4 linked regions of the Tamandua tetradactyla genome follow. The protein of the gene in region 3 purifies or fractionates together with the protein of the main gene of each other region. This does not show direct contact. Links are inferred from orthologs where the notes say so. Each region holds a gene or a part of one and is shown on either strand. Other genes may lie near its edges.

What was found. The genes of interacting proteins can lie anywhere in the genome.
Region 1: the proteins of POLR2E (region 3) and CRCP purify together in Homo sapiens (affinity purification with mass spectrometry; 3 studies listed by BioGRID and IntAct, with this or other methods). This does not show direct contact. The link is inferred for Tamandua tetradactyla from reciprocal best matches to the Homo sapiens genes POLR2E and CRCP.
Region 2: the proteins of POLR2E (region 3) and protein POLR1D-like purify together in Homo sapiens (affinity purification with mass spectrometry; 4 studies listed by BioGRID and IntAct, with this or other methods). This does not show direct contact. The link is inferred for Tamandua tetradactyla from reciprocal best matches to the Homo sapiens genes POLR2E and POLR1D.
Region 4: the proteins of POLR2E (region 3) and POLR3E purify together in Homo sapiens (affinity purification with mass spectrometry; 5 studies listed by BioGRID and IntAct, counting the BioPlex papers as one, with this or other methods). This does not show direct contact. The link is inferred for Tamandua tetradactyla from reciprocal best matches to the Homo sapiens genes POLR2E and POLR3E.

What each region holds. Positions count from the first base shown.
Region 1 is NC_135349.1:18,078,343-18,085,867, forward strand, and holds the start of CRCP (DNA-directed RNA polymerase III subunit RPC9), read right to left. Parts: upstream 3,075-7,525; 5' UTR 2,963-3,074; coding exon 2,955-2,962; intron 2,703-2,954; exon of another isoform or gene 2,609-2,702; intron 1-2,608. UniProt on the Homo sapiens protein: DNA-dependent RNA polymerase catalyzes the transcription of DNA into RNA using the four ribonucleoside triphosphates as substrates.
Region 2 is NC_135330.1:192,895,567-192,903,200, forward strand, and holds the start of protein POLR1D-like, read left to right. Parts: upstream 1-4,560; 5' UTR 4,561-4,618; coding exon 4,619-4,635; intron 4,636-7,634.
Region 3 is NC_135337.1:81,867,723-81,874,887, forward strand, and holds the start of POLR2E (DNA-directed RNA polymerases I, II, and III subunit RPABC1), read left to right. Parts: upstream 1-4,065; 5' UTR 4,066-4,240; intron 4,241-6,872; exon of another isoform or gene 6,873-6,935; 5' UTR 6,936-7,165. UniProt on the Homo sapiens protein: DNA-dependent RNA polymerase catalyzes the transcription of DNA into RNA using the four ribonucleoside triphosphates as substrates.
Region 4 is NC_135349.1:34,964,848-34,972,579, forward strand, and holds the start of POLR3E (DNA-directed RNA polymerase III subunit RPC5), read right to left. Parts: upstream 3,075-7,732; 5' UTR 2,923-3,074; intron 1-2,922. UniProt on the Homo sapiens protein: DNA-dependent RNA polymerase catalyzes the transcription of DNA into RNA using the four ribonucleoside triphosphates as substrates.

The DNA of each region.
Region 1 (7,525 bases), on a different chromosome or scaffold from region 3:
ATTGGACATTTCTATAGAATTGCTTTAATTGGGACATTTCCATGGCCTAAAAACTGTTAACTTGCAACTTACTAAACTCCCCTTTTTAAAAGCCATTCTGTTTCTGGATATTGCATTCTGGCAGCTAGCAAACTAGAACATCCATGAATTGCTAGCTACAAAATTCTTGATTAGTTTCAGTAAGTCACTGACTCCTAGAGAGAAGTGAACAGGTTGTTACAAGACCATTTCACTTAGGAAAGTCAGAAAACCTAGCAACTAGGTAGATGATGGTCTTAATAACTGAGATATAAGCAGGTTGGGCTGGAGAGGAAACCATCAATATTTCTGTTTTGAAAATGTTAAGTCCGAGTTGCCTTTTCAACGTGTAAATGCAGATGCCAAATAAGTAGTGGAGAATTGGGGTTCAGAACTCAGGAGAAAGGGGCTAGAATTATAATTCGTAGATTCATCAGCAGAGGTAGGTACAATAGCCAAGAGACAGTATGTGGAGAGAAGGGTTCCCAGGATTGAGCTCTGAGATACCTCAACACTCAGAAGCCAACAAGAAGGGATGGGGGGAAAGGAGACTGAAAAGTAGTACCTGATGTAGAAGGAAATCCAAGAGAGCATGTCATAAAGCCAGTAAATATTTCTAGAAGAAACAGACACCCGTATCAACTGCTGCTGAGAGATCAAGAAAGTAAACAACAGAAAACCAATTTTTGGATTTGACAAACTGGAGGGCTTGGGTAATCATCACAAGAGCCATTTAAATGGAGTTAATGAGGTAAAAACAACAACAACAACAAAACAGAATGGTTTAGACAGTACAAAGGGATTGCCTAAACAACTATCATGAAGTTCTGTTACAACGCGAAATAGAAATGGAGCGTAAATGAATAAGAGACAAGGGATTCTATGCATCTATCTATCTCTTTATTTTTGGCATGGGCAGGCTCCCGGAATTGAACCTGGGTCTCGGGCTTGGCAGTCGAGAACTCTGCCACAAGGGACTTTATTTTTAAGATGGATAAATAGAAGTTTTTTATGCTGACAGGAAATTCTCCAGTCAATAGGGAGAAACTGATAATAATGGCTTGGATCACAGTCATACGTGTTTTTCAAGCTGCAGTTGTATCCCATTAATGGGTTACAAAACCAATTAGGTAAAAAAAAAATTAGGTTTCTTTTTCCTTCTTCCCATTATTTTTTTTATGAGAGCATGTGCCAGTTTGAAACTGTCATGTACCCCAGAAAAGCAATGCCCATTAATCCTTTTAATATTGCTGGGTGGGATCTTTTTATTGTTTCTATGCAGATGTGACCCACTCAATTGTGGGTGGTCACTTTTGATTAGATGGCTTCCATGGAGATGTATCTCCACCCATTCAAGGTGGGGTTGCTTACTGGAGTCCTTCAAGAGGTACCCATGTTGGAAAAAGCTTTAGAACAAACCGAGCCCACATAGCCAGAGACCTCTGGAGACATAAAGAAAACACCACCAGGGAAGCCACTGAAGAAGTCTGGGAAGAAAGCTAGTAGACCTTGCCACGTGCCTTTCCATCTGAGAAACTAGGAACTCAACAGCCTTCTTGTACCAAGGTATCTCTCCCTGGATGCCTTAGTTTGGACATTTTTATAACCTTGCCTTAATTTGAACATTTTTCATGGCCGTAGCACTGTACACTTGCAACTTGATAAATTCTCCTTTTTGACAGCCATTCCATTTCTGGTATATCACATTCTGACAGCTTTTACAAATTAAAACAGAGCAGTTACAGGTTTACAGAAAAATTATGGAGAAAGTAGAGTCCCACATACCTCCCTCCCATAGTTTTTCCTATTAACATTTTGCATTAGTGTGGTAACTGCTGCAACTGATGAACAAACATTATTATAAGTACACTATTAACTATAGCTATTGCTTGCAACAGGGGTCACTTTTTGCGTTGTACAGTTTCATGGTTGTTTTTTAATTTTTATTCTGGTAACATATATACAACCAAGTCAGCATTCTTTTCATGAAATAGAAGAGTCAGTGTCAGAGTGTACAGCATAGCATACAATAAAGGTAAACGTTGTTTCATGAAGCTTTTATTTCAGTTATATATACATCTTGTGTTAAAAGTCAAGATAAGATCAAATAAACTGGAAAAACTGCGGTATATATAACCATTAAACAAGTTACAGAACAAAGGAAACTGGGTGCTGTAAGGAACACAATATATGTGTACCTGCAAGTTAATGTCAACTAAGTAAAAATACACATGAAAAGTAAAAAAAAAAAAAAAAACACCTCCATTTGCACATGGTACTAGGAGTAAAAATGAGAAAAGACAATGTGGAGCTAAATCGTTAGAACAGCTCTTACTCTTTTCTCCCCTCCCCCCCCCCCCACCAGTGTTGTTTCTTCAGCCCCTTAACTGGTTCACGCACTCCCTTCTCCGCAGAATATACGCGCCTTCCTTCACAGGGCTAACTGCTCCTCATCACACTCACTGAGCACCTCTTCAGAGTTACGGTTCCCCCGAGTGGGAGCCTACTACCCCTAGGATCTATTTCAACACCTAACCGTCTCCCCTCCTGGTGGACTCACGGATTTATTCCTGAATCGCCGCTAACTTACCGGGCCGGGCTCCCCACTGGGACTTAGGAAACACGTGTAAATGACCGCAGGAGAGAGGAGACACGAATGAAAGACAGCCAGGCCCAATGGCATTCTGCTCATGTCCCAGGCATGGAGATGAGGAGGTGGGAAGGTGGGGAAGAAAGGTTCAGAGGAGCAAGTCTAAAGTCCCTTTCTTCCCCTCCTACCCAAACCCGACTGCCCCTTCTACGACTGGGCCGTCGCCCTCACCGCAAGCCGGGGAGGAGGGTCGCCCCATCTCCACGCCTCCCGGCTCCCCGCAGTGTAACCGTCCCCCACCCTTGGGCCCCCGCCCAAAGGCGGGAACGCATCCCGGGCGGCTTACACCTCCATGTTGCCTCCGCCTCGTCGTCTCTGGATACCGCAGGACAAGAAACCTCACACAGTTTCACCACTGCTGTTTCCGCCTTCCTCTCTGAGCCCGCAGGATCGCCGGCACAGCAAGCCGCGGTGCACGCCGGGATGGGCGCGCTGCACGCCGGGAGCCTGGAGGACTTTGCTGGGCCCTCCGCGCCGCCCGGTGCTCCTTTTCCCGAGGGGACTGTATTTTCTTCGTCCAGGCAGACTTCAGACTGTCCAGCGTTTGCAGAAATAACTTATCACGTTTTCTTGGCCTAGGTCCTATCAGAGTATTAATAAACTAAGATTCCAAAGAGTTGATAGAGTTGGTGGGCCTTTGCGGATTTAGAATCCCACCCCTCAGAGAGCAGTGATGATGGGGACGGGCCGAGGGGACTTGTGGCTGCTGGAGTTACTTTCTTTCTTGATGTGGGTGCTGGTTATATGGGATGTTATAATTGAATAAAATGTTTTTAAAGATGGAGAAAAAAAAAGCCCTTCTCCCTGTTCCCTTTCTTCCTTGAGAGCTATTTCACAAAAAATTTATGAAGAGCTTTAACTAAAGGAACAGCCTCTGACTTTGGGCCTTTCTGGGAATTTGGGAAAAGGGAATTATCGGATTCCCTAAATAAAGAAGCAAGTGTAGTGATTTTTTGCTGAGAAATAACATAAATGCTCACGATGTAGAATCGAGAAATAATATGTTTCTGCCGTATAGTATGGTGTATTCAGCCAAGAAAAATCGTGTTGCAGAATGATGCTGGAAAAATGCTCAAGATAGGATTTCTAAAAGATGCAAATGATATGATATGATCCTGATTATCTAAAGAAAATAATGTATGAGTTAAAAAATACCCGGGATATGGAAGGCAGAGCTACCTGATCTGCAAGATTTTATGTCTTTGAAAGAACAGGGTTGGGAGAGTGGGTGTCAATTTCATTATTTCCTGTTATTTTTTAGTATGCTTGAAATATTTCTTAAAGCAGGAGGGAAATATGACAAAATATTAACAGTGGCAGATGCCTTTGCCTTTGAGGCAATTGCTGGGGGTGGTTTCTGCTTTTTAAGTCTTTCATGTTCTATTAGTTTTCATTTACCAAGTTCATTCTCTTTGCCAAGCCCTAAGTAAGCACTTTTTACACCATGAGATTGACAGTGAATGGTGCTGACCTGGCAGTCGGCCAGCCTTGTTCCTATTTACCATCATGGCTTTCCTAGAAGCTGTTTGACTTTGTGGAAATGACTTAACCTCCCTCCACCATAATTCCCTAGTCTGTAAATTAGAGATCTGTTATGTCATCTTTATAAAGTGCCTGGCACATAGTAAGTGCTCATCAAATATTAACTATTACAACAGTACTCTGAGTTACAGTCCATTATTATTCACATTTTACAATTGAGGAAACTGAGGCAAAGCTTTGGAGAAGTTATGACTTAACCCAATGTCATTCACCTGGGAACTTGCCCCACAGAGATCCAAACCCAGATAATACAAACAAATGCAGGAGGCATATTAAATTGTTAATAGTGGCTGATGAATAGATAAATAAAATGTGGAATATTCATACAATGGAATATCATTTGGCAATGAAAGGGAATGAAGTACTGATACATATTACAGCATAGATGACCCTCAGAAATATGTTAAGTGAAAGAAGTCAGACACAAAAGACCATGCATCATATGATTCCTTATATGAAATGTCCAGAATAGGCAAATCTATAGACAGGAAATAGATTATCAGTTGCTGGGAGCTAGGAAGCCGGGAGCAGGGTGGGGTGGAGGTTCTGCAGGCAGGAAGTGAGGTGCAGAATGGGAACTGACAGCTAATGGGTACGGGTTTTTTTTTTTTTTTTTTTAGGGGAGATGAAAATGTTCTAAAATTAGATTATAGCGATAGCTGCACAACCCTGTAAATATACTAAAAAAACATTGGATTGCACACTTTGCATGGGTGAATTGTATGGTATGTGAATTTTACCCCAGTAAAGCTGGTTGAAAAATATTAATAGAGACAGCAGGATGTTCGGCTTCTGAGCGGGGACCTTTGTATCATGTGCTAAGAGAGTGAATTCAAAATGGGTGAATTTGAGAAGGGCAAGAAGATTTTTGTTCAGAAGTGTGCCCAGTGCCACACCGTGGAAGAGGGAGGGAAACACAAGACTGGGCCAAATCTGCATGGTCTCTAGGCGGAAGACAGGTCAGGCGCCTGGATTCTCTTACACAGATGCCAACAAGAAGAAAGGCATCACTTGGGAAGAGGAGACACTGTTGGAGTATTTGGAGAATCCCAAGAAGTATATCCCTGGAAGAAAAATGATCTTTGCTGGCAGTAAGAAGATGGCAGAAAGGGCAGGCTTGATAGCTTATCTCAAAGCTACTAATGAGTAATAATTGGCCACTGCATTATTTATTATAAGATAGGTGGGACTTTTTTACATGTATCATATCTGAATTGATCTCACACACCAGAATTCAGATCATGAATAGCTGATAGTATATTTTTATTGGACAGCCCTGAGTTAAATAAGATTAGCTTATAGTTAAATGAATGTGATCAAGCTTTTTAAATTGATATAATTCTGGTTTCAGCAAGTGCTATCACTATTTCCCCTTTCTAAAGATATAACTGGACTGAGGCTAAGTGAATTAGTAATGCTCAGCTTTTCACAGAGATGGTGAATACCAGTTCAATCTACTGGAGATTGGTTTTAAATTTAAATTTATATGATTGGTGTTATGAATATACTTGAATACTAGGAAATCTCTTCATTGTCACAGAATAGAGCAAGACTCATCTGGGTTTCAATTGGTGTCCTCAGCCTGTTTAAAGGCAGGTGCTAAAAATAAGGTAGCTATGTCCACTTTATCTTTTTGATCTTAACTGTGTCAATCTAATTAAAAGTCCCTGAATTTCAATATTTGAAATGTTGCCTTTTAATTAACAAAAGGCATTTTGGTGTCGTTTATGTATAAAACCCAATAAAGAATGCTGAATGTGTGAATGTGTGAAACCTTCTCACATTTTATAGATAATCTATAAAGTTGAATGTTTTCAAAAGTCAGTGTGACAAGTTAAATTTTGCTTTTTCATTCTTTATTATCTTAAATCAGACCAAGTTACAATTCAGGTCGTCTTTAAACTGCTATTCAAAACCACATAAAATTGTAGAGACACTGAATTACGTGTGTTTGGTCACGATGCTTTTGCCAACTCGTAAGGATTTAGATAGAGAAGATAGACCATCAGTACGAGTTAGTAAATTTTGTTATCATAAGTCTTAAGATGATTAAAAAAACACAAAGACAAAAAGAAAATATTATGAATAGTGGAAGGAAAGTGTGGAGGCTTTTTAACATTTAACTTTATACATTCTGTTGTTTAAAATTTTTCAATGAATGTGTTATGTTTATAATTAAAATTTTTTAAATAACTAATGTTACTGTTACTTACAACGCAGGGCTAGACGGTGCCCAGAATGAAAGAGGAAAGAGACTGGGATCAGGGGACCTAACTTCTCAGAGAAGTTCAGGCAAGTTTATTTAGGGCTGTACTTCTTTTTATACCCTAGATATGCATGTGAAAAGCTTTGTTCTATTTTCTAATGTTACTTTATGTTGCTTACCACTTTTGGCAATGTCAGCTAGTTCTTGCTAGACTAAGCAATCTTGCTTTGTGTCTTTTAGCAACACCTGCTGTATTAAAAACATCCTTTTCTTTCAAGTTCAGCCAGACTGTTTATCTTTGAACCTTGGGGCAGACTCCCTGGTCTTTACTTCTGCCTTTTAACCCTTTCCAAGCTGTTTTTCCATCAAACTCATTTACTTTAAAAATCACCAGGGGAATGGAATGCCACCCCAGGCCCAACTGGCCTGACTTGTGTCCTCTGTATCTCCCCTGTGAGAAAAGCAGTCCCAACCGGCAGCGCCAAAGAGGCTCCTTGTGTTATTCCTTCAGCAAACACATAAGTGGCCCATGCGATGCTGAGGATATAAATGTGAATTATACAAGGCCCACTCGAGAAACCACATCTGATGTCAACAACAATCTACTGTGTTGAGATGCGATAGAGCAGAGGTGGGAATGACTAATGAGGTGGAGAGGCGTCCCGAAGCCAGAGGCTTTTGAGTTGGGACTTGAGGTTAAGAAGGATCCTGCAAGGCTAGAGCTGTGGGGTGGGGCTTGCTATGGAAGAGGGGCTAGAGCCCCTGAGGACCCACCCCACAATAAAATGACCCAGGCCCAGGTTCTCCAAGGGAAGCCACCTTAAGTCTGAGGAGGCCATGTGCAGTTGTCACCAAACACTATTCTGTGGGTGCAGCCGAATGGTCAGGAGTGCAGTCCTTTCCCCAGGGAAATCAGTTTGCAGGCTGCCGAGGAAGATCAGGCCTAATGAGATAACACAGCTGGCAAAGCTGGGTTGGACTCTGGACCCCCCTTCCAGGCTCCTGAGCTGTGCTGAGAGCTCTTCCTGGACTCTCTGGGGGCCAGTCAATGGTTCAAGCTCCTGCTTGCTCTAGCCCCACGCAGGACTTCCCTGCAGTTTTCCTTAATT
Region 2 (7,634 bases), on a different chromosome or scaffold from region 3:
AAATTTAGGATGTTGAACTTAAGCCTCACAATAACTATCAAGAACATGTCAGAAAATATGCAAGTTCATAGAGATAGAGAGTAGAATATAGATTGCCAGGGGTGGAGGTAGGAAGAACAGATTGCTAATGCATAATGGTATAAGGTTTCTGTTGAAGAGATAGGAGAGTTTTAGGAATGGAAGGTCATGAGGGCTCTACAGCACTGTGAATGTGAGTAATCCCACTGAATTGTATACTTGGGAGGGGTTGAGATGGGAAGTGTTGTATATCTGTTCCCAGAATGGAAAAAAAAGCAACTGAAGAGACAATGACATATAAATACAGTATATGATCCAGGATGGGATCTAATAAAGAAAGGAGAAAAGGCTCAAAAAAACATTGAGACCTATAAAAAAAGTTAGAATGTAGACTGTCAGCTTTATATCAATGTTAAACTTCTTAAAATATGTAACTATTAAATTTTACCAATGGGGGAACCCCTGATACTGTGTCAAACATTAGGAACACTCAAATCAATAGGCCAAGCCCTTGATCAGGTAACTTCCTCTTGTGAAGCTTATGTATATATAGAGCGGAGAAGTTTAGCCTGCCTATAGGTATGGCTGAGAGTTACTTTTGGAGAACCTCTTTTGTTACTCAGTGTGGCCTTTCTCTTTCTAAGCCTAACCCTGCAAGTAAAATCATTGCCCTCCGCCCTACATGGGACATGACATCCAAGGGTGAAAGTCTCCCTGGGGCAGGGGAGATGACTCCCAGGGATGAACCTGGCCCTGGCACCGTGGGATCAACAATACCATCCATACAAAAAGGGGGGAAAAAGTGTAACAGTGGCTGGGAGAGTTCAAGTAAAGCCGAGAGACTACTCTGGAGACTACTCTTAAACAAACCTCAGTTAGACATTGCTACCTAAAGGCAAAACATTCCTGCCAATCTTAAGGAACTCTAGCGCATTAAGATTCTACAAAGATTCAATGCACTAGGGTAACTTTCCAGAGACCTATATCCTCCAGATGGGTCCCTGGACCAGCTAAGTCCTGAAATGCAGAGGGGCCAGCCTCTCTAGAACATCAGCTAGTTCCGTCCCCCTACCCCATATTATCGATAGCCCCTTCCAACATGAAAAAGTTAGAACAAGCATAGCCCAAATACCCCTAAAGAGTGGGAGAAAGATCAAAGGTGATGGTAAAGTTATACAGAGTATGTAGGGTTTAAATAAATGAGTATGATTACTGAGTCATTATATTGATATTTGTTTTAGTCTCCAGTGTCTTGGAGCAGCTAGAAGTAAAAACCTAAAATTGTGGAATTGTAACCCATACCAAACTCTGAAATCTGTTCTACAACTAATTGTTGCAATGTGCTTTGAAATTTATTGATTTTTTGTGTATGTTATTGTTCACAAAAAAGAAAAAAAGTTGGTTATAATGATAAATGCACAGTTATATGATGATATTGTGAACCATTGATTGTATACTTTGGAGGATTACATAGTATATGAATATATACTGTATATCAATACAAATAAATAATTTTAAAAATGTTTAATTTCTTGAACTTGATACCGGCATTTAAATGAATATCCTTGTTCTTAGGAAATATACATGGCAGTATTAAAGTGTTCAAGGAGTATGATGTATACAGCTTATACTCAAGTGTTCAGAAAATGAATTGATGAATAAATAGATAGGCAGGCAGATGGATGGATAGATAAAATGGTAAGGCAAATGTTGGAGTTCTCTGTATTGGGTTTGTATTATGTTGGCAAGTAGGAATGATGATGAAGAAAACTTTTTTATGCCTTTAAATAATATTTTTCTTAAGTTGTGTGCATGCTTTGGTAAAATATAGCATTTAAAAAAACTATAGAATGTTAATATCATTTGGGATTACGTAAATAGTATCTATAATATACTATAATAGTATAAATAAATGCTTTATAGAGAATCTATCTAATTACCCATTTTCAAAACTTTCTGATATATTTATATTTCTGTCTTTTGGACTGTATTTGTTTCAAACTAATACTTCTCTGATTCTTAACTTCATTTTCTACATATATCATAAGTAATACTAAACTCAGGAACCATTATTTTCCCATTATTACCCATAACACTTAGCATGGTATCTTAAAGTCTCAAAATATGCCTGACGAATAAATTTTCTCTTCTCCTTTACCTTGTTTTAAGGTAATACATGTTCATTCTAGAAAAAAAGCAACAAACAAGCAAAAATCACCCCAGAATTCATCTTATCATTTTCCTAATATCCCTCCACATGTTTTCCTATGTAATAAATACACATAAATAAATTTAAGATACAGTTATCTTTTTAAAATATTTTTATTGACAAAACAACATACAAACACAAACATTCTTAACACATGAACAGTCCATGCTTTGTGTACAATCAGTGGCTCCCGGTATCATCATATAGTTGTATATTCATCACCATGATCATTTCTTAGAAATTTGCATCTCTCCAGAAAAAGAAATAAAAAGAAAAAATACTCATACATACCATATCCCTTACCCCTCCCTCTCATTGACCACTAATATTTCCGTTTACCCAATATATTTTAACCTTTGTTCCGCCAATTTTTTTTCTATACCCTTTACCACTCCCTTTCATTGATCACTATTATTTCAATCTACTCAATTTATTTTAACATTTGTTTCCCCTATTATTTGTTTATTTTTTAATCCATATTTTTTACCCATCTGTTCCTACCACAGATAAAAGGAGCGTCAAATACAAAGTTTTCACAATCGCACAGTCACATAGCAAAAGTTATATCGTTATACAATCATCTTCAAGAAACACGGCTACTGAAACACAGCTCTACAGTTTCAGGCACTTCGCTCTAGCCACTCTAATACACCTTAAACTAAAAAGGGAATATCTATATAATGCGTAAGAATAACCTCCAGGATAACCTCTCAACTCTGTTTGAAATCTCTCAGCCACTGACACTTTATTTTATCTCATTTCTCTCTTCACCCTTCCGGTTGAGATGGTGTTCTTAATGCCTTAATGCTGAGTCCCAGCTCATTCTAGGATTTCTGTCGCATGTTGCTGGGAGGTTTAACACCCCTGGGAGTCATGCCCCATGTAGAGAGGGGGAAGGCAGTGAGTTTGCTTATCATGTTGGCTGAGAGAGAGAGAGAGAAACCACATCTGAGCAACAGAAGAGGTTCTCTGGGGGTGACTCTTAGGCCTAATTTTAAGTAGGGTTAGCCTGTCCTTTGCAGGAATAAGTTTCATAGCAACAAACCCCAGAATTGAGGGCTCGGCCTGTTGATTTGGTTGTCCCCACTTCTTGCAAGAGTATCAGGAATTCTGCACATGGGGAAGTTGAATTTTCCCCCTTTCTCCCCATTCCCCCAAGGGGACTTTGCAAATACTTTTTTATTCACTGTTTTAATCACTCTGGGTTTATTGGGGCATCACATTAACCCGGACAAACCTACAAAATCTCATGCCCTATTCAGGATTCAGTGTATTTATGGTGTTCAATTAAACTATCCATATAAGTTAAATTAGGAAATGCAGTAGTCAAAATATAAATTTTATACCAAATAAACATTTCTTCCTTTAGTCTCACACAGAAGTTGAAGTTTTAAAATGTAGATGACCATCTATTTTCAGCGCCCTGCAATATCCACATTCCTTTGTTTTTCCTCATGCAAAAAGATTTTTCAATTTTTACATTTAGTCATTATTATGAGATAGAATTATCTTTTACACACTGTGTTTTTACCAGCCTTTTATACTTTATATGTTATGAAAATCTTTCTGTGCCAAGCATTCATTCATCTTCATTTTAATGACTAGCTAATTTTCTACTTATGGATATGCCACAATTTATTTAAGCAATCCTTTATTAATAAACATTTAGGCTTTCTGTTCTTTTTTTTTTAATTGTTAGCAAATGGTTTAATGAGCATCTTTGTACAAATAATTTTGCGTACTTATTTGAATAATTCCTTAGGATAGAGTGAATTTTTAAATCAATAGGTACGTACTGTTTTTAAGGCTTTATGTCACCTTGCCAAATTGTCCTCCAGAAATGTTGTATTTGCTTAAGTCCTCACAAGTAGAGAATGACTTATCCATTTTCCTCCTCCCTCACTGACCAATGGGGAGAAGCAGATTTATCATTGTGGGGTTAATTCATATTTCTTAGAATAGCAGTGAATTTTGACATTTTTAATATGAATGTGAATATATTTGGCCATACATGTCTTTTGGTTATTTTTTTTAATTAATAAGTAAAGAGACAGAATTCTTAAAAGGATGTATGATTTAACTGCCTCATATTGCAAATATTTTTCCAGTTCTCATTTTCTCTTTAACTTCATTTTCAGTTTTCCCCCTTCATATAGAAAGGGATTTTGTAAAATTTTATGTGTTCAAAACTGTCAGTCGTTTTTACAAATTTCTGCCCCAGCCATCTTGCCCCAATGACTGTTCCTTTCCCAACAGTGTATAAATGAAATTAATTGATTCACAAATTTTAGTGGGGTGGCTACCTCTCAAATTTCTTCCCTTTTTTCCACCAGGAAAGCAATAGAAGAACTGCTTAAGGAGGCAAAACGTGGGAAAACCAGAGCAGAAACAATGGGACCTATGGGGTGGTAAGTTTTCGAATAATCCTCCTTAAAACTTAAAATGTTAAAATACAGCATCTTGGCTGGAGATATAAATATGTATTAAATGTGACTAGAGTGTATACAGAGGAAATCATCCAGAGGCAAGTGGTCGAGCAGTTAAACTGCAAAGGGCCCAGTGCCCAGGAACTTAAGAGCAGGAAGAAGTGGTGGAGAATATGAGTTTCATCATCCCTTTGATTTGCACATCCCCAAGGGATGTGTAGGTACCACCATGCCCAGTGACACCTGTGTGAAAGTAATATTTTTAGTCTTCATTGTTGAAGAATTTCTGCTTTGATTATAGTTTTTAGTAAATTAAAGTGAATTTGTATTTTATTTTTTAAAAATTAATTCTAACTGTAAGTATTTTGAATATATGACATTTCAGCCACATGGACTAAAGTTTACCTTTGCAAGTTTCTGTACAAAATAGAGTGTCTTAAAACTTAATAATATAAGCAAAGGATTTAACCTTAAGAATGATGTATACTCTTTTATGCACTACAGTCAGTGATTATGTTGATTATACATCTTTTAACTACAATTTTAAATGTTACTTCAGTGGAATACCCTGGGCTATTAAAAAAATAAAATGTAAAAATGGGGTAGGAGTAGAAACTAGACCTCGGAATGTGCCTCTTTTTTAGATTTGGCTTTTAGAAACCATGCACATAAAACATAAAATAAAATTAACTCAAAATGGAGGGAAAAGGCAGTCCATAAAAGTTGAGCAAATTAAAACAAATGAACCTGAATAAGTGTAGTGGATGGCTTAACCATACGTAGAGGAACTATTTCCACTGATCCAAAAACACAGCAATTTTTACTTTATTTCCTGAAGACAAAGAACTACAAAGACATTGTAAATTGTTTTCAGTCTTCTTATTGTTTGTAATAATATTGGTATTGTTATTCTGAAAGTATATTATAGTAGGATAAAGCAAATAAGTAAATATGCCAATGTTTTCAGGCACCAAGCTTTTCAGTGTGAGAGAAAATAGATACAAAAGCAAAATCTGAGTAAAAACCTATAGTCCTAAATTTGAATTGGAAATGTCAGTAGGAAGACATGTTAGATTTTTTTCCTTAAAACAGAGAAAAGCTTTTTCTAGCTGTGTTTATGGAAAAGTCCTAGAAACAATGAACTGCTCAGTAGTAGGGAGCTCCCCTACATCCAGATTGTGGTCTGTAAATACCATTTTTCACTAAAAGGCAATAATAATCCTTACAAAAATAACTGATTCCAGATTGAGGTAAGAAACATACAAGAGGAGCTAGAAAATCTTAACACAGCAAAGAGCAAAGAAACTATCAAAGACAATTGTAGTCAGGTCAGAAGAACTCAGGAGCCAGCTTGAAAAGTCATCCACTGGTCAAAGATGGGGTTATTTGATCATCAAAAATAATAGCTTTAAAAGTTCAAACACTTAAACTCTGTTAAAATCTGTGAGGTCAAAATGATCACCAAAGCAGTGAACTTAGTGATCCCCTTTTAGAGGAAGCTAGGGAACCAAATCATTATTCACAAAATTGATAAATAAAGAAGAAAAATCAAACATTTGTCCTGTTTCTGAACAAATTGTATCTCAAGTTAGCAAATAGTTGATGAAAGAAGCTTCTTTATAGAAGAATTGCAGTTAATAAATATAGAAGGCATGTAAAATATGGTTATCATCATTTGAATTCTTAACTCAATAAAAAGAAGGAAAACAATCCATTTTTTAAATGGTCATAAGATTTGAACAGACACTTCATCAAAGAAGATATAAGATTGGCCTATAAGCATATGAAAAGATCATTAGTTATCAGGAAAATGCAAATTAGAACCACAATAAATTACCACTACATACACACTATAGAATGGCTAAAATAAAATTAAGGTTGGGATGTGGAACAACTAGAACTCTCACACATGGCTGATGGAATTTTAAAATCATACAGCCATTTTGGAAAATAGCTGGCTGTTTCTGATAAGTCTACAACCCAGAATTCTTAGCATTTACCAAAGAGAATTGAAAATTTAAATCCACCCAAAATCCATACAATAATGTTCATAGCAGCTTATTCATAATAGCTCCAAATTGGAAGCAACTCAAATGTCCATCAGCTGGTGAGTGGATAAACAAATTCTGAATATATCCATAAATTCAGTGCTACTCAGCAATAAAAAGGAACAGAGCTACTGATAAACACTGCATGGATGAATCTCATAAGCATCATGCTAAGTAAAAGAAGCCAGACACAAAAAATGACACAGTATATGATTCCATTTATATGACGTTCCAGAAAAGGCAAAACTATAGGAACAGAAAACAGACCAATGGTTTCCAGGAAGTGGGGGTGGGAGGAAGGGATGGATGGATTGACTGCAGAACTTTTGAGGGTAAGGGAAATTTCTCTATCTTGATTGCAGTGATGGTCACATGACTATATATATTTGTCAAAACTCATGAAACAGTTCACTTAAAAGGATGAATTTTGTTCTATGTAAATTATACCTCAGTGTATTAGTTTGTTAAGCTATTGGAATACAAGATACCAGAAATGGAATGGCTTTTAAAAAGGACATTTAATAAGTTATAAGCTTATCGTTATAAGGCCATAAATATGTCCTAACTAAGGCAAGATTCCTTGACTCGAGGAAGGGCGATCTGGGAAGGCATGTGGCTTGTGTCTGCTGGTCCTTGTTACCGGTTCTGCTGCTTCCGGCTTCTGATGCCAGTGGTTTCCTCTGTAAGCGTCTGTGGGCCTTCACTTAGCTCCTCCGGGACAAACTCTGGGTTTCATCTCTTAGCTTAGCATCTGCAGAGGCCGGAGATTTCTTCTCTTCAGTATTTGGCTATTTCTGTGAGTTCTTGCTTAGCACTCCAGGCTATATCTTTCTTGATCTCCAAACATCTACATAGGCTCTCCTTCAGCTCTGTCATTTCTCCAGGATGTTTCCTCTTTTAAATGACTCCAGTAAACTAGTCAGGACCCACCTG
Region 3 (7,165 bases):
CCTGATCCTCCGGGTTCTCAGGGTCCAGTGCCTGAGCAGCCCCCCAGACGCTGGCTGGTCCTGCAGGGGGGAGTACCCCTCAAGGCCTCACCTGGTAGGGACACTGCCCAGCTCACGACTTGGGGTGCAGGGGCTGAGGGGTCCACAACCTCTGTGCCTCTGGCCTCTCCATCCTCCCAGGCCTCGGACAGGGGGTCTGAGCAGGCTGCTTTAGGATCAAGAGCCCCTAGCTCTGCTCCTCCTCCCACCTTTGGAGGTCCCTGCCTCAAATTTCGTGAAACTGGGTGGTCCCAAGAGCTGGAAACTCAGGAAACCCCAGGTGCTCAGAGCCATCCCCCCAGCCTTGGCGTGGCTCATGGGGCAGCCCCCCTCCCCATTAATATATGCAACCCTCCATCTTCCTTCCCTTGCTCCCTAAATTATTGCTCGGCCACTGCCCCAGGACCCTGGGAGTCCACCTGGGGCAGCAGGGAGCAGTCCTCTGGTTTCTACGTGTATTTATAACTTGTGTATATATGTAAACAGATCTTTTTTTTAAATATATGTGCCTTTTGACTACTTCCCAAAGTCTGCTCGTCCTGCCTGCTGGTTTGTATTTGCTCCAAAGCAAGACAGGGACCAGCACAGCTAGAACAAGGCCCACCTAGAAATGCGGCTGAGAGTTATGGGCTCCCCTAGGGGTGAAACCAGCCCACCTTGACCTGGCCTACATCACACCCCCTGGCTCACGCCTACCTGAGGGACCATTGTTTACTGTGGTTGTGGTACCAGTTCTTAAGGCAGCTGCTACTGGCCAGCCTGTGTCAGGGCCCATTCACCTTGGCTTCAGGTACTGTGCCCCAGCAGCATCCAGGCTAGGGAGTTCTGCCTGGGACCCTCTTCCTTAGCTCCTCCTTTAGGCACAGACCACCTCTTGGGGACTCTGTACAGCCCCCAAGGGCAGATCCTCAACATGACTGCCAGCTCTTCAGGTCCCAGGCCATCCCTACCCCTCCTAAGAGGGACCCAGAGATAGCTGTACCTTTACAACAGTTCACTTTCCCCTGGATGGGACTAGATGGAGCCCAGAGGGTAGGCATGGGTACCCTGGGCTAATGCCTACACCACGAGATTGGCAAGTAGAGCAGCCTGGCTCACTGCCTAGACCAGCTTGGCCATCTAATGGGTTAAGGCCTCGTGCCTGGACAAGCAGCCCGTTGGGAGGAATTTCCAGGAACTGGCCATGCCCTGATGTCAACCCAGGACTGAGCTGCAGAAATCCCAATTCGAGCTGCCCCAGCAGGAATGGCCATGGGGCTCCCCCTGTGGATGCAGGAGGTCCAAGCAGGCCTGTTTGTAAATTTTATTCCCACAAGGCAGCCAGGGGTGGGGGCACCCTGCCACGCCGGCAGCCGGGTCCTTCCTCCAGCAGAGGTTGCACGCCAGGTTCTCAGGTCTGCCCCACCAGTGGGCTGGTTTGCAGGCAGGCCATCATGGGTGCTGGGTGGAAGGCTCCAGGACTGCAGGCAGGGGCACGGGTGGGGGACACGAAGATGGCACACACTTGTAGAACTAGAGATAACAGGGCAGGTCCTTCTCTATCACCTGTGGGAGAAGAGGGAGATCAGGACAGCTGATGGAGCACTCCTACCCACCCCCGGCTCCCTCAAACGGCACCTACCAGGGGCTCTTCCATGGGACCATATCGCTTCACCACACAGCCATTCTTGTCAATGAGGAACTGTGAGGGGTAGTCAGGGATGCAGATTCCTGCCTGCGAGGCCCCTCACTACCTGCTGTCCTATTTGTGCCAAGGTGGGGCCATGGGCCAGTGGGGGTGAGGCACGAAGGCTGTGGCTGATAGCCCAGGGGAGTTGGGCTGGATTGGGGGGATTAGAAGGGAAAGTAGAGGGCAGAAGTGGGAGTCTCCTCTTCCAGCTGGTGACCTCCTTACCTTAGTGAAGTTCCATTTTATGGCGCTGCAGAAAAGAGGCCCAAGGTCAGGAGGGCTCCCTAGAGGGGTTCAGCCCCCCACCCCCACCCCCGCAGCTGGGTGGGGAGCACTTACTTTCCCAGGATGCCCCTCCCCTTTGGCTGGATTTTCATCCACTTCCATAGCGGGTGGGCATCGTCCCCGTTCACGCAGATCTTGCTGAACATATCGAACTTGACGTTGTAGCCGGCTGCAAACTCTTTGATCTCCGCATTGCTTCCTGGCTCCTGCAGACAGCCAGGGCACTGGGAGTGGGGCAAGGGCCTGCCCCACCCCTCCCACACCATCGTCCTGCTGTCCTGAGTCCTGACCCGCACCTGGGTCCCAAACCTTCTACCCACTCCCAGTTGCCCTCCCCCTCCTGTCCTGTCCTCAGGGACCACGCACCTGCTTCCCAAACTGGTTGCAGGGGAAGGCCAGGATACGTAAACCACACTCAGCATATCGGGCGTGCAGGTCGACGAGCTGAGTGTAGTTTACGTCTGTCTTGCCTCATTGAGAGGCCACATTGGTGACGATGCACACGCAGCCCCTGGAGACGAGGGAAGCGTGGTCAGGGGGCGCTGGTGCTACCCTTCGGGGTGCCCCGTTTCCCTCCCTGGGCTGGCCGGCAAGCACGCACCGGTACTTGTCCAAGCACACCATGTGCCCATCGATGTCCTTGGCGGAGAACTCATGCATGGAGCGGGCACAGCGCCAGTCGTCCCGGGACGCGCACTGCGAGGCAAAGACACGCTGGGGGCCAGGCGCGGGGCAGCTACCCCACCGCGCACCTCCAGAGAACGGCCCTTCGCGCCCCAAGGAAGCCACGGCCCAGGACTAGAGGAAAGTGCCGCCCCCAACGGCCACGCCCCCTCCCCGCCCGCGGAGCGGGGTCCATTTTACAGAATTAACTGGGGCCGCAAGAGGGTCCGTGACCCTGCAAGGCTCCGGAATCACGCAAGGCTCCGGGATCCCGGCAGGCGCCGCCGGTCCCGGGCTCTCGCAGGGGGATCTCTTCCTCCGGGGGCGCGGTCTCCGGCGCCGACAGGCCCGGGTCTTCCGCCTGCCGGCCTTCCGCCTGCGGGGCTGTCGCCTGGGGCCTCTGCCCAACGACCTGCCCCGGCGGCTGCACCGCTTCCCGCGGCGGCCCCGGGAGCGGGCAGCTGCGCGGCCCATGCCCGCCCCTCTCCGCCCGCCTGTGCCCCAGCGCGCTGTGCGGGGGGCGGGAAAAGGGCCCGTAGCCAGGGCGCCCGGGGCCAGCGCTCTGTGACGTTGTCGCCCTGGGCCCCGGGGGGAGGGGCGCTGAGACGCGGCGCGTGACCCGAGTTTCCCTGCTCGATGGCCCCGCCCTCGAGGCCAAAGCCCGGGTGCGCAGAGGACTGGCCGCCCAGCCGATCCCGCTAGCCGCCTACACCCCCCCAGGCTTCCGGACACCGACGCCAACACTCCCACCCAGCCCTGGGACACTGTGTCCAGCCCACAGCCCATCCCCGAAGCCCAGGGAAACGAACCTGACCCTCCCACCGCACCCGTGCCTTCCCATCCCCAGCCGGCCTCCCCCACCCCCGATCCCGCACTGGCTACCTGCCCAACGCCCCAGACAGGCCCGGCGGCCGCGTACAAAGTGAATGGGTACGGTCCCCCGCTGCGCCCCCGGCCCGGGGCTGGTGGGAGGGGAGAAACGGACAGGAGCCCCCCCCCGGGGGGACGCCGCACCCCCGGCTCCCGGGCTCCCGCGAGCGGCCCAACGGCTCCCGGCTCCGGCCCTGCGTGCCTGCTCACCATGGTGCCGGCCAGGCCGGGAACTGCCAGCGCCCCGCACAGCAGCGCGGGTTTAAGCAGACGGCACAGGCGGCTAAGGCTCATCGCGGCGGTGGGGGCGCGGAGCGCGGCGGCTCCTCCCTTTGACCGACCGACCAATGGCCACGCGCCGGCGCCCCGCACCTTCCCGCCTTCGGCCACGCCCACCTACGCCCTCATTGGCGGGCCATGGATGCGTGCAACTGGTGACCAATGGTGGGGCGGGGGCGGTCTGCGGCTCTGTTGTCGGTAGCCACTGCGCATGCTCTCCTGGGTGGGTGGTTGAGTTCACGCCGCCGCGCGTCGGGATTGCGGGCGGTTGTGCGAGCGGCGGGAGGGAGAGAATGCCTCCCACTCTCCCCGAGGGCACGGGGTGGGGGGTGGGAAAGGTCGTCCAAACCGCCAGGAAGCGCGCCCAAATTCCCGGGAATACTCTCACGGTCACGCAGGTGTGCGCCCAGAAAAAAACACGCCGGAGTTCTCCAGGCATGTGACTTCCCATCCCCCACGTGGTTTGCGTATATTTCCAACACGGGGCAACTTCCTTTTAGCGCGTCCAAACAAGGCCCGGCCGTTGGACCACAGGGGCACGGCAGACCCACCACCTTTTGGGTCCCGTGAGTTATGCAGCACCCCCAACTCCCCTCCCCGCGTCACGGGACTGGCCCTTGGGAGAGTTTCTGCTTTCTGCCGTCTGGTGGCAGAGGCAAAGAAGGGAGGGTCACCAGGTCACCCGCTAATGTGGAACCTCATAAGGTCCATTTCTCAACACAGCCCTCCTCCGCGGGGTCAGTAGGGGCCTGCTTCTCTGAGTCTCTTGGCATGGTGGCCGTGGGCTCCGTGGGGCCCCCCTCACTTCCTAGGAACTCCCACCCAGTCCTCGCCGCCCTCGGAAGTGCCCAGTGCCCTGACCACACTGGGCTTGCCCTAAGGCTCAGATGTTCTCAGTTTTGCTTGGATCTGTAAACACCTTCCCCGAAAGGCTGATTTTTTTTTCAGTGTTGTCAAAAACACAGGGCGCCGCCCTCCTAGAGCCAGGGGCGGAGAGAGGAAAGATAGAAAGACCGCTGCACCCAGCCCTGGCCGCAGGCCATCACCTCCCCAAGGGGCCTGGGCGAGGTGGAAGCTGTGGGGTGGGGGTGGGAGGGGTTGGAGCCCAGCTGTACTCTGGCCAGAGGGTCGAGGTCTGTCCTGAGTTGCCACCAGTCTACAGGGCCTGTCCTATGACCTAGTTTTTTTGTAATCCTCTCGTTTTGAAATAAAATTCGCCATTTTAACTACGTATAACATGTCCAGTTCTGTGGATTTTAGTATATTCACAATGTTGTGCAACCTTCACCACTGTCTGGCTCCAGATCATTCTCATCACCCGAAAAAGGGGACCCCATGCCTGTCGGCTGCCACTCCCCAGCCCCACTCCAGACCCCAGTGACCTCAAATCTCCTTTCTGTCCGTGTGGGTTTGCCTGGCCAGGACGTTCCTTATCAGTTGGAATCAGACGAGCTTTGTGCTTTGTTCTTTGCTTCTTTCACTCTGCAGAATGTCTTCAGAGTCCAAGTGGGAACAAAAGGTGATACTTGTCCTTTTTATGGCCGAATAATAGCCCATTGTAGGGATCAGTCATATTTTGTCCATCTGCTGGTGGATATTGGGTTGTTTCCACTTTTTCCGCCATGACATCCTGCTGTGAACACGAGTCTGTGCGTGGACATGGGTTTTAATTTATCTCGGGGATTGCTGGGCCTCACAGGGTGCAACCCTCTGAGGAGCCCGCTTGCCCCCCCTCCTCCGTCTCCACCCCTTCCCTCCCCTGGCTTCCCCAAGGAACCCCGAGGCCACCTGGAACATGCACTCTCTAGCCAAGGCCACTGCTTCTTGGGCTTAGCCTTTGTCACCTGCATTTACCCTCATTCCTGAGTGCCCTTTCTCCCATTGCCAGCAGCTCTGTCTGCAGCTCCAGTCCCTTCACCCCTGCACACCTGCCCCAGCCCCTCCCTGCAGCTGCCTGGTCAAAGACACAAAGCAAGTCTCGACTTGGTGGCCGCCCCCTCCTCCCCTGCTTTCTGGGACACCTGGCAGCCTCCTCCTTCCCCTCCACCTTTATCCTACTTAGGAAGCTCTCGGCCATGCCTGCGTCCTGGGCACTGAGCGCAGTTATTGGCCGGCTCTCCAAGGAAGCAGGTGTTGGTCCAGTCCCTATTTTGTCTGGCGGGAGCACCCAGGCACTAGAGAGGTTAAGAAGTCACACAGCTAGGGCTGGAGCGCAGGCAGCTGCCCCAGGGTCTGGCCAGCCCCTCTGCCTTCTGCCGCCCCCGCTCCCGGTGCCAGGCCAGGATCTGTCGCCAAAGGCACAGCTAATGTTGGGGCATCCTGGGCATTGGGGGTGCTTATCAGGGTCTCTGGGCACCCCCTCCCCAGTCGTGACACCCACAGATATCTCCAGAAATCCCTAGGGGTCCTCTTCAGGACAGTTGCCACCATGATCTTCACCGTGAACTCCACAGATCCTCCTCCCTCCTTCCACCTCCCCTCAAAGTCCCACGGAGCCTCAAATTCCACTGCCCAAGACCCCTGTCCCCACCTACCCCCCCCCCATTATCCCATCTCCATCGGGGCCACCTCCATTCTCCCCGGCATGACCCCACGCTCCATCCATCTGCAAATACCATGGGCTCTGCCTTCAGGAGACACCAGGTCGCCCTCAGCTTACAGTTCCCCCAGTCCCTATCCCCACATCTGGCCGGTGGCCCCTTCCCACTATCACCCAGCCCCCAGCGCTGTCCCCAAAACAGCAGCTCCAAACATTGCAGTGGCTGAACAGAAAACCTGCACTTGACAACCAAACCGCAGACCTCCCTGGCTCTGCCCCCCTCAGCCCCGACCGTCCCTCCTTGTGGCCCCCCACCTCTTGCTGCCAACACACCGGGCAAGGCCCGGCCTTGGGTACGCTGGCCTGTACCCTTGGCCCGACACCCTGTCCCTAGACCCCAAGCTGCTCCCACCCAGTCCTGTTTCAGGGACTTGCTTAAACCTTTCTTCAGGGCCTTCCTTGAGGTCCCCACTTGACTCCGCAGCCCCCTCAAGTCTCCCTGACCCTGCCTTGCTTCTCTTTCTGCAGCCTCATCACTTTCTATTGTACATTCATTTATGTTTATGGCTCTGTGTCACCTTTTGCTGAAAGGAGAAATGGGGGAGACCTGGCCGGGACTGCTCCAGCCACTCCACAGTGGAGCCTGTTGAGATTTGGAAGAAAGAAGCACTGCACACCAGGTGATAAGTCCTCAGACCTTTACTTGGGAACTTACAGAGAGCTACCGTGACCTTGCCCCAGACAACAAGGTCACAAGAAGGTCACTGGAGGATGCTGGCACCCGTGGCAGCCAGTCTTCAGATAACAAAGGGCTGGGACAC
Region 4 (7,732 bases), on a different chromosome or scaffold from region 3:
GACAACTGAGAGACTGAGAAATTCCAGCTGAGCAAGGAAACCAATCATAGGCAAAAAGAGGGTGTGGCCTGGGAACATCCCAAGACAGGCCCTGTCAGCTACTGGTCTGCCTGCTGGCTTCAGCCCAGTCACTAAGGAGATCAGGGAGGCTGAGGGGTCTAGGAGCTAGAGGGCTGAAACTCCTCTCTCTGACTGGGTTCACGCAAGGGTTCTCACCTCTTCCACCCTTCCAGCCACCAGCATCCAGCTCAGCCGGCTCCAAAGTTCTCAGCTTACCACTACAGGAAGAAAGACATCTGGGATCAGAAACCCAGAGCAGACACACAACTACATAACTGCAATACAATTCCATATAACTGTACTAGTCCTTACTATACATGATGCAGTGATGTTTTCTGCCCTGGTTTATTAAAAAATAAAAATGCTAGTTACATCCCTAAAATGATTTCACATCCCTGAAAAATCCTGACCTGCAATTTGAGAAGTACTGGCCCAACAAGTCTCCCTGAATCCCTTCTTTCTTATCTCCAATTCTCCCAACAAGAGCAAGTTGTCCTGGTAAAGAAGGGGAATCTCTTCATTCCCCTTCTTTTGACTGTCATGTAGAATAAAATCTAAAGTCCTTTTCACTGCAGCATTGTGCTCATCTTTCCCTCACCACGCACTTAGCCAAAAACAGGCCAAAGCCCCAGAATGCCTCAGGACCTTTGCAAGCCATCTATTTCCTCCAGATCTTTGCAAGTCTGGCTTCTTTTTATCAGCTATAACTCTCCAACCCTACTTCCACATCTCCCTGTTTTATTTCTTTTGTGGTTCTTATGACAATCAGTAATTACCTGGCCTATTTGCTTAAGCATCGTCTGTGTTCTGCACTACAATGTCAGTCCCGAGAGGACCTCTCAGTGCTTCAATTCCCTCAACTATTAGATGAAAATAATAATTATACTTAACTTCATTGAGTTGTGGAGATTATTTTTAAGTTATTATTATTATTCACTGCTGTTCTCCGAAAACATTGCCTGGTACAGAGTAGACAATATAGTACAAAGAATAACTACGTGAAGTGAATGAGTGAGCGAAACGAGGCAGCCACAGACCCTCATTGCAGTGAGTGCCACTCAGCCCCATCCAGAGACTGGCAGCCTCATGGTTTGGGCCTCACGGACACTTAAGGACCAGAGCCATGGATCCAGTGTGGGGAGGGAGGCAGAACTTGCAGCCGCCATAAGCCCAACTCCCCAGCAGTACTAAACCTATCACTACCTGGGGCTCATCAGGATGTCCTGTGGCCACAAGGGCACTCTGTGGCAGGGGCTCCATGGGTTTGGCCTCAGGAAAGAATGGACTCTCCCCTCAACAGGGAGCTGCTCAACAACTGGAAACGGGGCAAGGGCAACCAAGCTGAGCTGAGAAGAGGCCCAGAGAGAGGAGATACTTGAAGGCCACAACTGGTGCATCCACACTGTACCCAGGAATCTAACCTGTCAGCCAATCAGAAAATCAAAGGCAACTCCAAATAATCTCTAGGCGCTGGAAAGAATGCAAGGAAAGGAAAAGGACAAAAATACAATGGATTAAGGGAAAAGAGCCCAGGGACTAGCAATTGCAAGACCTGGCATCTTAAGGACTGTAACTGGGTGTGTGCCCCTTGGATGAGGCATTTCCTCTTTCTGGGTCACCTCAGTTTCCCCTTTGTGAAAGGAAGATTTAGCTGACCTGCAAAGAAATAATGAACCCTTACATAAATGTTCACTGTGTGGAGCTTACTCTCTAAGGCCTTCACATACATTCTCATTTAATTGTCTCTTCACTTAAACAGCCCTGAGTCAAGACTTTTGAAAATGAAGAAACTAGGGTTCAGAGAGTAACTTGCCCAAGGTCACAGCACTACAGCATGGCAGAAGAGCCAGAAGAGCTAATGTCAAAGATCTATTTTTCTTAATAACTTTAATACACCCTTCTTCAACCACAGGCCAGATAGTGGAGTGGGTAAGAACCTGGGCCTTGGAACTGAACCACACCGGTTCAAGTACCACCTCTGCAGATTAGCATCTGTCCGTCGGGTGTTTTTGTTTTCATCCAGCCATGGATTTAATAAGATAATCGATGTAACCTATGGAAAGGTTTAGCATTATTACTCAGCAACATGTTTTCTCCCAGTGTGAGAGGTTCTGCTACTTAGCCACAAATCAAGTGCTGATGCAGGGGCTGCACTCGTCCTACTCTATTTAGCCCTTACCGCAGCCCTATATGGTAGAAATTTTCTATTATTCCCTTTTCACACGAGAAAATTGTGGCGACTGCTAGGATCTATTCTTCCGGCCCTCAAATCTGACGACCTTGTTTGTTTACTGGTTGACTTGGCTTGCTTACTGACACTTCCTCTGACCTGTATCCGCATCACAAAGTTGGCTCTCAATAAACACTCAACGGTTGCCTGTATTCCAGGCCTGGCCAGGCAGAGGCTAACTGGGTTCAGCAGCCGGAAAAAGGCCAGGCTAACTCGGGGTACCCTCTCCACCTGCCCATGAGGGTTGGCCACCCGGTACTTCTCCCGCCCCCAACGCTGCCATGGCCACCAGCCGCCAACGCCTGCCGGACACCGGCTGCCTGCGGACAGGTGCTCCCGGAGGAGGCCGGTCCGGCCGGGTGGGGCAGGGGGCTGGACCCTGAGTCACCGCCGACAGCCTAGGACGCGGCCTTCCCGACTACTAGGATGGGCTGGGGCGTTAGAGCCCGCAACTAACCTGGGTCTCCTGAGCCGAGCCGTCCGTTCTGCCTACCGGGTACCGAGAGGACTCCGGCCCTTCAGCCCGGCGCGGTTCGGGCCTCCTTGGCCTACTAAGGGGCCCAGACCAGGCACAAGCCACGAAGGCGGCCAGGATTAAGCCTGGGCCCGGGAGCAGCAACCCGAGGACTCACCTCTACGCGGGAGCCGCGCAGGGGCGGCGGCAACGGCTCAGGTACCCGCGGGCTGCAGAGGCGGCGGCGGCCCGGTTCTTCTCTCAGGGAGCGGCCATGTTTCTGGTGGAGAAACTCCGGCGGACACGTGGGGGGAGCGGGGCCGGCCCCCGCGCTTCCTCTTACCCACAATGCCCCGCTCCGGAGCGCGCGGACCCGCCCCCTCCGCCGCTCCATTCATGCGGGCTGAGAGCCCGGCCTTGGCTGCAGGGGGCGCTGGCGGGTGGGCAAAACAGAACAAGGTGCAAAAGTCGGAGAGGTGAAAAAGCGATCGACTGTGGCAGCGGTGGGATTCGAACCCACGCCCCCGAAGAGACTGGAGCCTTAATCCAGCGCCTTAGACCGCTCGGCCACGCTACCCAGTTGCGTAAATTATTTTTTTAAGGCTCTCTTTAGTGATTATCTATTTGCTTAACGAACTTGTAGCGGTTCACTGGAGTTCCTCCTTAATACGTGCCTTATCTGACTCTGATACAATTATTTAAAACACGTCATGGGTTTTTAAAAATTTATTTGCTTCAGTTTTTAGACCCAGAGTCGTTCCAAATAGGTTTTAGGGCGGAAGGGAGCTTAAGGATCTGTATTCTGAGTTGGGTGGTTAACCCGGCGACCCCAGGTCAACCCCCACGTGGCCCACACGACCCGAGTTTTGTGTCTCTGGGAGAGATCGATCCTGGAGAAATTAGTAACCCTCACCAGGGGCTCCGATGGCCAAAACGGGGAGCTGATCTAGACAGTTGCTCCAAAAAAATTTTGTCTTAATTTTTGGTTACATTAATAATACATGAATTATTGCAAAATATTAAAAACTTGCAGAGAAGATTCAAATGCCCTTTAACTTTTGGCCCCCATCCTAGTTCCCTCTGCTGAGGTAACCATGATTCTCAGCTAGTGATGAGTACAGTGAAGAAAAAAAAAACCAAGGTGTTAAAATAGAATGGTTGGGGTGGTCAAAGAGATGGTAGTGGAAGGTCTCTCTAAGGAAGTGCCATTCAACAGAGGCTGAGCATTGAGGTGCCAGCCTTGGGAAGAGTAGAGAGAAAAGCATTCCAGGCACAGGGAACTGCAAGAGTCAATTCTCGAACTTCTCCAAGCGCCCATTTCCTCCTCTGTAAAATGGAGATTAGCAAAGATGATGGGTAAAGCATATATAGCACAGTGCCTGGTACACCAGTAAGGATCTGGTAAATGTCAGTCATTGTAATTACTACCTAGCAGTGGCCACTTAGTACTTCCTAAATTGTTAGAATTTAGGAAGACAGCCACAACCCGTTGACTTAACGCAATGAGCCAAATCAATGCTTTAGCCCAAGACCGATATATGAAATTAGGCAGCAACTCCACTAACGATTGTAATGCTTTGTACACTTCCCTAGAAGGTCATAGAGAGCACACTGTCATAAATAGAATTCCAGTTTTGTGTTGACTTGTATTAGACTGTTCAGGGCAGTGATCAAAGTTTCTGGTTAACATCCAGTTCGCAAACACCAGTACTATTTGGATATAACATATTTCTCCTTCTCTTCCAATTTCTACCTTAGCCCAGTTTATATTTCTCCATCTACCTTTAATATAAGTAATGATATGCAAACATTGTATTGTGCTGGGAGTGCTTGTTGCTTTTAAAAAAATTCAAAGAAAAACACAGAAGCAACCATCTATTGAGGACACAAGCAAAGGCATGGGGGGGTCGGGATACAAAGCTGAATGAGGAAGAGATCTTGAAAACAATAGGAGCATTGAAATAGTTGTGCTATTTTAGTGCCAGAAGGGATTGTGTTTGTTTGTGAGTTGTTGTCTGGGAAATTTATCCCCAGTGAAGGATAATTGCTGGAATCTCTGTCCAGTCCCACTTTCTAGAAATTGTCCCCCCAGCTCAGAGAGTGGGTCTCTGGCAGCCACGTTTGTCCTGTGTCACTACCCCATAACAATGACCACTGAGTGGGTTCTATGGTGGACTTCAGTCTCAGATTAAACCAGTCAAATTCTTTTTTGATAATCTTGAATTGAGACATAGTGACTTACTGATTTGTTAACTTGATGCTTAAGGAGTTCATCTGAGACTGCCTGGAACTAGGGAGAAGGGGATTTGGAGAGGTCCTATTCTGTGACAGAAGTTGGAGAAGTAGAGAATGCCGAAACACAGAAAAAGAGAGGATGATAAAATGAGAAGAACAACAGGAAGTCATAGAGAAATCCTCATGGATTTCTGGCTCCCAGCTCAAAAAACCCTTCCAAAGGCCCAGTAAAATTTCCATTTTGGAGAATCCCTTTTTCATTTTCTGCTAAAGAATAGTGCCATCTGGTATCTGTCAACGATAATCCAAGAATCCTCCTTGTGTAGCAATTGGTAAGGACTCCAGTGAAGCTGAGATATTCCTGCCGTAATATTCTAAAGCAATTCAGGTCCATCTGGCTAACACATTCTGAGCAGACTTCTTAGCAGTGAGCTTGTGGAAGGCAGAGCCCAGGAACCCCTTTAGGGAGTTTCTTGCAGTCCCGCAGCCCCATCGTACAACTGTCATATGACAATTGAAAGTAAATTCATTAGCAGTATAAACAGAAGGTTGCATCAGAGCCTCAGGGTCCCAGCAGCTGTATGCCGAGGGGACAGAAAGCAAGGCCTGAAACCCTGACCATCCTTTGATGGGTCCACTTCTCTGCCCCAGGCTATTGGGGACAGGTGAAGTGGACAAGCACCACAGATCCACAACTGCCCACTTGCCCTCACCTCTCCTCAATCTAGAGGCCACCAGGTAAAGATGTTCCTCTCCACATCATAAGCCCTAGGATGTAAGCAGTGGGAGTGGGGACGCAGTCCTGAATCTGCTCCATTCTTTATTCGTTTACAGAGGTAAAAGGAAAATTACCCCACACCTGGTCTGAGACCAAATTTTCTGCATGAACGTCTTTCGAGAAAAAAGTTAGCTTTCCTGATAAAATGCCTCAGAGATTTTCTTATGAAATTTAATGGTGTTGAGACTTGTACTAGAAAAACTAGTTTTCTACCCAGCCGGTTGACTGTTGTCTGTGAGTCAGGAGCATAGTGACCTTTAACCAAACATTCTTTTATTTTGTATCTTGTCTAACAATGATTATCTAACTACCCTCTTTTCCTATTTAATGTTCCTACCAAGATAGAGGTCAGGGGACCTCTCGGGTGGGGTGTAGGATGGGATGTACTGCTTTGAAAGGAGGTTGAGGAAGTAGATAGACAGATGAATGTAAATATATATGTATTTTTCAAGTTCTGTATCTTGATCTGGGTTGTTGGTACACAGATGTATACATATATAAAAATTCATCATGCTATGCCCTTTTAATTGCACAGGGTAGGCCACAGTGACTCAGCAGGCAGAGTTCTTGCCTGTTGTCATGGTCAGGTTCATGTGTCAACTTGGCCAAGTGGTGGTACCTGTTTGTCTGTTTGAGCAAGTGCTGGCCTGTCTGTTACAATGAGGACATGTCATAGAATTAAATCATGAGCATGTCAGCTGCATCCACAGCTGATTCCATTTGTAATCAGACAAGGGAGTGTCTTCTGCAATGAGACATGCTTAATCTAATCGCTGGAAGCCTTTTAAGGAGATTCAGAAGAGACAGGCTCTCTTCCTGCTTTGGCTGGTGAGCCTCTCCTGTGGAGTTCATCCAGACCCTCCATCGGAATTGTCGGCTTCATAGCCTGTCCGGCGGATTTTGAACTCTGTGTTCCCACGGTCATGTGAGACACTTTTATAAATTTTATATTTGCAAGTGTTCCCTGTTGATTCCGTTTCACTAGAGAACCCTAACTAATACACCTGTCATGCCAGAGAGCCGGGTTTGATTCCCGGTACCTGCCCATGCCAAAAAAAAAAAAAAATTGTACAACTTACTCTATGTACGTGATAACTTAATAAAAAGTAATTTTAAAAAATGTCCCTTCCAATGAATCTTTGAATTAGCATTCCAGAGGTCTTTTCATGTGCACTGAGACTGAAATAAAATTTTGACACCTGCTTGCTACCTAACTATCTGGAAAATTTACTTTAACACTCTTCTCCAATCTGTATGGCCCTTCTCCTCTACTCCAAAGGGCATGTTCTTTCAGGATGGGTATCTGTTATTTTGACCTTCCCAGCAGCTATGCCTCCATTTTTTGGTTCCAGTACTCTGATACTCTTTGGGACAAATCTTCCCCAGTGGTCCTGGAGGAACTGTCAATCAAAGTACTAAAAGATGCACTCAATACCTAAAACAGCCCAATCGGAAGATTGATCCTGGGAATCTGAATCTGTATACCAAATAATGATTTAGCTCAACAGCAGGACCGTGAAGGGAATTTCCGGACTGTTCTGCTTCTTAGCTCTCAATTTTGCCCCAGTATCTCCCTTTCAAAAGCCTGATTATTTTACCTTTCATTCTGTGACCTACTTCCTGCCATAAAATTGCTTCTTTACTAAAGTTAGCCAGCATTCAGTTCTATTATTTGCAACCAACGAACCTACCTGATAAACTAGGCCTCCCCAAAAGAAAACACATTCTTGCTAAGGAGACCCTTTCCCTTAGCACAGAAAAAAAGGAGAGAAGCTGGCTTAGTTGTGTGCATAGCATCTAACAAGGTGGGGATGCTCCTCACTGAACTTCATCTTTGGCCCATTTTCTCTGGCTGTGCCGCATGAGAAGCATCACCAAAAGGTCACCTTGGCAGGGTGACCATCATAATTATCATCCAAACCAGCACAGTTTAAGTCTATGACAATGCTTACTTGGAAGCAGGACTTGGACAACG